2 linked regions of the Callithrix jacchus genome follow. The protein of the gene in region 1 purifies or fractionates together with the protein of each later gene. This does not show direct contact. Links are inferred from orthologs where the notes say so. Each region holds a gene or a part of one and is shown in the gene's direction. Other genes may lie near its edges.

Region 1 (4,331 bases):
GCTGAGTTTATTTTTGTATAAGGTGAGAGATGAGGATCCAGTTTTATCTTGTGGCTTGCCAGTTATCACCATTTGTTGAAAAGGATGTCATTTCCCCACTTTATGTTTTTGTTTGCTTTGTGGAAGATCAGTTGGCTAAAAGTATTTGGCTTTATTTCTGTGTTCTCTATTTTGTTCCATTAATCTATGTGCCTATTTTTATACCAGTACCATGTTGTTTGGGTGACTATGGCCTTATAGTATAGTTTGAAGTCAGGTAATGTGATGCCTCCAGATTTATTCTTATTTATTTATTTATTTATTTATTGAGACAGAGTTTTGCTCTTGCTGCCCAGGGTGGAGTGCAATGGCGCGATCTCGGCTCATGGCAACCCTCCTGGGTTCAAGCGATTCTCCTGCCTCAGCCTCCCAAGTAGCTGTGATTACAGGCATGTGCCACCACATCCGGCTAATTTTTGTATTTTTAGTAGAGACGAGGTTTCTCCATATTGGTCAGGCTGGTCTCAAACTCCCAACCTCAGATGATCCACCTGCCTCAGCCTCCCAGTGCTGGGATTACAGGCACAAGCCACTGCGCTTGGCCTCAGATTTATTCTTTTTGCTTATTCTTGCTTTGGCTATGCAGGCTGTTTTTTGGTTCCATATGAATTTTAGAATTTTTTCTTTCTAGTTCTATAAAGAAGGATGGTGAGACCACTCCTTTTAGATGGGGCGTGAGGATGGTAACCAGAGTGCCAGTTCACCTGGGAGAGTCCCTTTTATGCCTACTGTCCAGATGTAATTATTTATTGTGTCTTTTCATTCTTTAAAGTGTTTGGTCTGAGCAATTATTTACAGCCATCTTAGTTGAGTCACAATCTTCACCATTCCCTCTTACATCACACTTAGCTCCCCCCCCCCACTTTTTTTTTTTTTTTATTTGAGACGGAGTCTCGCTCTGTCTGGAGTGCAGTGGTTGGCTCACTGCAACCTCTGCCTCCCGGATTCTTGCAATTCTCCTGCCTCAACCTCCGGAGCAACCGGGACTACAGGTGCACGCCGCCACGCCAGGCTAATTTTTTGTATTTTAGTAGAGACGGGATTTCCCCTTGTTGCCCAGGCTGGTCTCGAACTCCTGAGCTCAGGCAATCCACCCACCTCGGCCTCCCAAAGTGCTGGGATTACAGGCGTGAGCCACCGCGCCTGGCCCTCTTTCATTTTTATGGCAAGCCCCTTGCTAGAAAGGGAAAAATTGTGTGTGCATTGGGTGCAAGGAGTCAGAGCCATCTTGCCACAGAAGTTAGCTTAAAGAATGAATATGTGGGCTCATGGTAGAGACAACAGGCTATCTGGTGGATAGAAAGTAGGACAGGGTTTCCCTTTGACAGAGAATGTGATGTCACAACTTACTAAACCCTTTGCCTTCCATCATTTAATTTCACAACAACCTATCCAGTTACACAACTTATCCAGTTTGAGTCTGTGCATTTCTTTCTGCTGTTTTCCCCTGTGACCTGCATTTCGTGATAAAGAGTTCTAGGCCGTTCTGCTCACCGCTGTATCCCAGACACCCCACCTTTCCCCAGACATGGTTCAGTGTCGGGTGCAAAGAAAGCCCCAGGAACTACTGATTGACTGATCAGGATCCCAGGACCTATAGCTGGAGTGACCTGATGAGGACACTGAGGGGCAGGAGCAGAGTGCGATGACTTGGTCGAGGTCCGCGGCGAGTCACAGGCAGAGAGAAGCAGGCCAGAATCAGATTCGAGGGCCTGACTCCTGACCTGAAGCCCAGGATCATTTCTTAGCCAGCTGCCTGCATCCTCCCCAAACAGAAGGGGAGAAATGGGAGAGTGCGCATGCAGGGACTGATCTCAGACCTCGGGAGATTCAGCCTGAATGCTGGGCCCGGGGGCCAGAGAAACCGGAGGTACCGGAAAGACCTTATCTTTTTTCCCACCGGCCCCGCTGCCGCGCAGGACTACATTTCCCAGCAGCCCCCACGACGCGCACTGTTCGTGCCACGCGGCTTGCGCCTCCGCCGACGGCCCGCTGGGGGCGCTGCGGCGACCCCTCCGCCGCCCCGTAGAAATCTCCTGGGCCCCGAGGCCGCTTGCTTCCTGTTTGTCGGACGAGGAGACATGGCGGCGGCGCCGGCAGTGGCAGGGTCCGGAGCCGGCCGAGGCAGACGGTCGGCAGCCACAGTAGCGGCTTGGGGCGGATGGGGCGGCCGGCCGCGGCCCGGGAACATTCTGTTGCAGCTGCGGCAGGGCCAGCTGACCGGCCGGGGTCTGGTCCGGGCAGTGCAGGTACGAGGCTGGCCCAGGAGGGGCGGGGCGGGGCGGACCAGGCGGGAGCTGGCCAGGGACCGGGAAAGAGGCCTTTCCAGGCCGCCGCTGGACAGGCCAGACCCCCCTTGGCTGGCCGCAAGGCCTCCCTGTGAGCTGCCCGGACGCTCTCAGCTGCAGCGGGGCCGTGGAAAGCAGCTGGCTTGATGTCCCTTGTCAGTAGCCGAGCGGGGCTGGGCTGCTGTGGGCACTGATGGCGTGTACGAACCCTGGGCCCGGTTTCTGGATCCTCCCTCCCTTGCGCCACGTCTGCATGTCTGGGAGACCCTGGCGAGTTTGTTTTAGTCTCTATGGGCCTCGAGTTTCTCCCGTGTATTGGGCGTGGGGGAGGGGGTCATCATTGCAGCCCCCAGACGGTTCCCAAGCGTTATCATAAATGTCATTTTCTCAGGCCTTTCCTTGACACTCTCTCTTCCTCCTTTCTAAAGTAGGTCCCCGTTGTTATTCTGTCACAGCCGCGCATTGGTTTCGTTTACGTTACTTTCTTAGTCTATAATTTCATATTTCTTTGTTGTCTGCCTTTTTCTCGCCTGTCTCCCACATTAGGCTGACTTCCAGCGGGTGCAGAGACTGGATCTGGTTTGCCAATGTAGAGCGTCATGGTTAAGAGGGACTCTGGAGTCAGGCCTGGGTTCAAAGCCCTGCTCCTCTCTCTTGGTTGGGCAGGTTACCTTTCTGTGCCTTAGTTTCCTCACTTGTAAGATGAAGATGAGAATTAGTAACCAACCTTTTAAGATTGTTGTGGAGATCAAAGGGGGCAATTGTGTAAAGCATTAGTGCATTTCTGGCTGAAAGTGGTTGGTTAATATTAAGTATCTGATTTATAACAGGTGCCCAACATATGGTGATTATTATTTTTGAGTGAGTGAAGGACACTGCTTTAGGGTAAAGCAGAATTAGTAAGACCTAGTCTCCTCCTTCTTTCACCCTCCCCCACCTCAAACCTTGCTAACACACCTGTAAAACATTAGCTTTATTTAAAAGACAGCTTTTGCATCAAGGAAGTTTGAAGGATACTCAAGAAACTATAAAGTGGTTGGTGGGAGTGAGGTGGGAATTGGGCTAAAGGGAAAGAGAATGGGAGTGAGACTTTTCACAGTATAACTTTGTATTTAAATTTAACTTGCATATCACTTTCTCAAATGATAAAAGGATAGAATAAAATAAAGGCTAGGTGGTCTGTGTGTATGGAGGATGGTGGATGAAAGGCGCAGTTCTGAGTGAGAAATGTTTTCCTGGGCATCAGACAACCTTTTTAGCAGCCTTTTTCCCCCTTTGTGTTCTTCTCTCCGTGACTTAAGATCCTGTAATCCCAGCACTTTGGGAGTCTGAGGCAGGCAGATCGCTTGAGTCCAGGAATTCTGGACCATCCTGGGCAACATGGCAAAATCCTGTCTCTACAAAAAATTAGCTGGGTTTGGTGATGCGTGCCTATGGGAGGCTGAGGTGGGAGGATTACCTGAGCCTGGGAGGCAGTAGTTGACGGAGTGAGACCCTGTCTCAAAAAAAAAAAAAAAAATCCTGTAACTACTTGATCTCTCCTTCTTAAGCTAAGGTACCTTATTGAGCTGGGTGTGTAGATAGAGACAGGCAGAAAGAGGACTAACTTTTAGTGAGGACTTAGATTAAGTATGGTGCAAGGCATAGGGTATCTTTAATCCTCAAGCTTTTGAGTTATCTATCAAGACTCACTTCTTAACATGGATGAGGAAACTGAGGCTCAGAAAGGTTAGGTGATGTGTTCCTAAACACCCATCCTGATAATCTGTGTTCTGAGAGTAATAGGGAGCCACAAAAGTTCTTGAGCCTGATGAGTGAGGCAATTTAGGCAACTTAATTTGTTTCCAGTGCTGAGTGACTTCGAATGGGAGGAGCCTAGAAAAGCTTACCAGAGGCTGGGAGCTGTGGCTCACACCTACAATCCCAGCACTTTGGAAGGCCTAGGTGGTGGATCATCTGAGGTCAGGAGTTCAAGACCAGCCTGACAAACATGGTGAAATCCCG
Region 2 (3,813 bases), on another chromosome or scaffold:
TTAGATTTATCTATGGTAAGTATTTACTAATGTTTTAATATTTTTCTTTTAAAATAGCACTCAACAGAGAAGCTAGCACGTATATTCAACCTGGAGGGAATATTTATTTGGGAATTACAGATTTAAAATTGTTTTTAATTCTTTGGGGGGATACTTGAGGAATGTTACCTAATTGTCCTATGCTTTGACTCTTCTAGTATGAAGTGCCTTAGTTTGTGCTACTTGGTTTAATCTCTCCAATATTTGCACCAAAGCTACCAGTCCACAAAAGCTTTTCTGAAGAAAAATTAATGCAATAAAGACAGTTAAATGCAAAAAAGTTTTACAATAAAAACTTTGAAATGTCTGACACTAAAATGCATCTTTACTGTTACTTGCATTTAACAAACTTAGATAAAATGTGTAAAGTAAAATAACTTGGAATAATGGTGTGATTTATTAAAGCACTTTGAAGCAGTTTTGTCAGAACTTTTTATTGAAATATTATAAATTTTGCATGTTTTTTACATAGGGAAGGATGTTTTTGAGGCCTTCTATAAGAAAGATTTAGCTAAGCGCCTGTTGGTTGGGAAGAGTGCATCTGTAGATGCTGAAAAATCAATGCTGTCCAAACTTAAACATGGTAGGTTTCTCATTCTTCCCATTCCTTTTCTTTGATTTTTGAAGGAGAATGTTACCCTTTTACTCTTTCAATTAGTTTCCTCTTGTGTCAATCATGTCTATGTATATATGATGAAAACATAAATTGAGCAAGCTCCTGAGGTTTCCAACTTACTGTACATATATCCAGAGCTGTCGTGTTTTTGAAGATAAAACCTTGTTCTTGGTTTTATTATTTGTATAAAAATTTCCCATTTATTTTATACCTAAATAGTAGATAAGGTTACTACAGGATTAAAGAGTTTGACTCTGAATTAATGGGGCATACACTTTGGGGTAAGGATTTCTTTTTATTCTTATGAATAGTTACAGATCATACTTCATACTAAAATAAGTTTTGTATTTCATGTTTACCATTTTAAACCTCTTTTGTTTTTACCATTTTAAAATATTATACATGTACAAACACCTTTAATAGAATGCGGAGCTGCTTTCACCAGCAAACTTGAAGGAATGTTTAAAGACATGGAACTTTCTAAAGACATCATGATTCAGTTCAAACAGGTAAAAGTGAGTTAAACTCTTACTTAGTTCCTCAAACTTAGTTATATTTAGTTATCTGCTCGCCGTGATTTCTACAGAAGAGGATAAATAGAAACATGTTTGTTGTAATTACTTCATGGCAACTGAGGTGATATTCACAGTAGAAAAAAATCATCAATGAAATAGAAGTATATTTGACCTACTTTAGGATTTATTTTTAACAAACACCCAGAATAACACAAAAATAAAAATAAAATGAGTTGAACTGAGGTCAGTACAAGAAAAGCTATAGGTAGATAGTGGGAACAGGGCTTTCCCCAGCATGTTACCATTTGGTGATTTGCATGTTCAGAGCTTGCAATGGGGAGAGGAGAAGTGATAATGTAGCTGTATAAAGTCTTTGGGGACATTGGGAATAGAAAGCTAGATCCACAGTTTTGAAGATGTAGGTAGAAAGTAGTTTTGAAATATTGAAGAACATAGGTGATAGTGATGGCAAATTAAATTTTCCTCTTTTGGGGTTTTAATAGTGACTTCTGTACCCCACAGTGTTGCTAAGTTGGAAAGTGGAAGTGAAAGTATTAAGAAAAAAATCAGGGCCAGTAAGATTATAGATCCTATAGTAGCTACAGAATAGGGCTTACCTGCTTTGCCCTTTTCCCCTCTTCTTCCTTCCCTACTCCAGGTCTCTCCCTGCAGACAGGCAGTGGAGCAAGCGAAAAACTGGAGACTTGGGCTGACTGGTGGGGTGAGGAATGGGGGTTGCTGCAAGGTGTTTAAGCCACACAGGGGTATTTAAAGGTGGGGACTGCAGGTGTTATTGGGGAAAATAATGGAGAAGAGATCCTATAACAGCCCAGCTGTATGTGAAAAATTATTTAAGTTGACTGCCTATAATGAGATAATGTGAGCCTTGTATGTCTTTGTATCAGTGTTAACCTCTATACTTGCCTAGTGCATTTTGTGTAGGCTTCATTTAAAGTCCTCTTAATAGTTGCGTTTTATTTTAAGGATGGCCATTATTTGCATGTAATTTCAAAACAAGGAACTTCTTAACTAGGTTATTATGATAGGAAATGTATACAGTTTTAACATCTCAGTGTGTGTGTTGATCTTCTTTTAGTATATGCAGAATCAGAATGTTCCGGGTAATATTGAGTTAACTGTGAATATCCTGACAATGGGCTATTGGCCAACATATGTGCCTATGGAAGTTCATTTACCACCAGAGGTAAGAGTTACTGTTCAGAACCTTAGTTATAGGCATAGAAGTCATAGCACTTCCATTTTGCTTATCATTTAAAAGTAGATATTTAGAAAAAATCAGAGATCCAGGGTCTCGTTGTATTGCTCAGGCTGGTGTTGAACTCCTGGGCTTAAGTTATCTCCCCTGCCTAGGCCTTTTAAAGTGCTGGGATTACAGGTATGAGCCACCAGGCCTGGCATAGATACTTTTTAAAAAGTGTATGTCAGTAAACACATCAGCACCAAATACCAACTGCTTTAATGTTTTACTTTTGTACTTCTAAGTCCAGTTAAGCACATAGCTGACAATACCAAATTTCTGAGTGCAGGGTCAGTTTCCCTGGCTCTTCTTCCATCTTTCCAGATTATATTCCTCATTCTACCTAGCTATTAAGAATTCTTGTGCATATTTCACCCATAGGTGGGATTGCTGAATGGTGGGTGCTTGATTAAATCTGTCCTGACTCCCAGGAAACTGTCTAGCCCAGGACTGAAGCCCATAAAAGGGATTAAGGCTAGACAGATAGATGTTGAGAATCCTCCATGGAGATGATTATGAAAGCCAGGGAGGAGATCTCTCTCAAAGAGGAAGAAAAAATGGCAGCGGCAGAATTTTTAAAAAGGCTCACATTTGGCAGATGGTAGAAAGAGGAACCTGTGAAGGAAACCAATGCAGAAGCAACAGTCAGATAAAGGAACCAGCATAGTGCAGAGGCACAAAATCTGCTGCAGGTGAATGTTTCAAAAAGGGATGATTAAACGGTAGAGAGAGAGCAAAGGGTATAAATCCTAATAAATCCCATTTGATTTGGTGGTTGGGAGATCATTATTTGTCATTAAAGTAATGGTGGACCTACTGGATATAGTCTTAAAATTTTCCAGAAATTATGTCACATGATATAAGTATAAAAGGTGATAAATGTGGTATTGGATACTGAGCTTAAGTAAAACCTTATTTTATTTACTTTATTTAGATGGTAAAACTTCAGGAGATTTTCAAGACATTTTACCTAGGCAAACATAGTGGCAGGAAACTTCAGTGGCAGTCAACCCTAGGACACTGTGTGCTAAAAGCAGAATTTAAAGAGGTAAGTAGATGTTCCCAAAGCTTTCAGTTTTCATCTTTATCTTTAATATTTAGGTCATCCTTCTTACCTGAAGGTTTAAGCTATTGTTTTATAAATGTATCCTAGATATCTATATGACAACAGTGATACCTTGTCACAGCTTTTATATATTTTTAAGTAATTTTAGGTGTGTGGTATTTCCACAATTGATTTGGCCCTTCTGCAAAACGAAATGCATTGAACTTCCCCCGTCCTTTCCTCACCTGTGGATGAAAACTTCACACTGCCACTTCCTATTTTGATGTATTTGTTTTTTAGAGACAGGGTCCTACGCTGTCACCCAGGCAGAAGTATGGTG

The links.
Region 2: the proteins of TRPC4AP (region 1) and CUL4B purify together in Homo sapiens (affinity purification with mass spectrometry; 4 studies listed by BioGRID and IntAct, counting the BioPlex papers as one, with this or other methods). This does not show direct contact. The link is inferred for Callithrix jacchus from reciprocal best matches to the Homo sapiens genes TRPC4AP and CUL4B.

What each region holds. Positions count from the first base shown.
Region 1 is NC_133506.1:4,219,840-4,224,170, forward strand, and holds the start of TRPC4AP (short transient receptor potential channel 4-associated protein), read left to right. Parts: upstream 1-1,495; 5' UTR 1,496-1,838; coding exon 1,839-2,288; intron 2,289-4,331. UniProt on the Homo sapiens protein: Substrate-recognition component of a DCX (DDB1-CUL4-X-box) E3 ubiquitin-protein ligase complex required for cell cycle control.
Region 2 is NC_133524.1:116,416,868-116,420,680, reverse strand, and holds part of CUL4B (cullin-4B), read left to right. Parts: coding exon 1-15; intron 16-511; coding exon 512-622; intron 623-1,078; coding exon 1,079-1,164; coding exon of another isoform or gene 1,165-1,170; intron 1,171-1,828; coding exon 1,829-1,891; intron 1,892-2,266; coding exon 2,267-2,374; intron 2,375-3,362; coding exon 3,363-3,476; intron 3,477-3,813.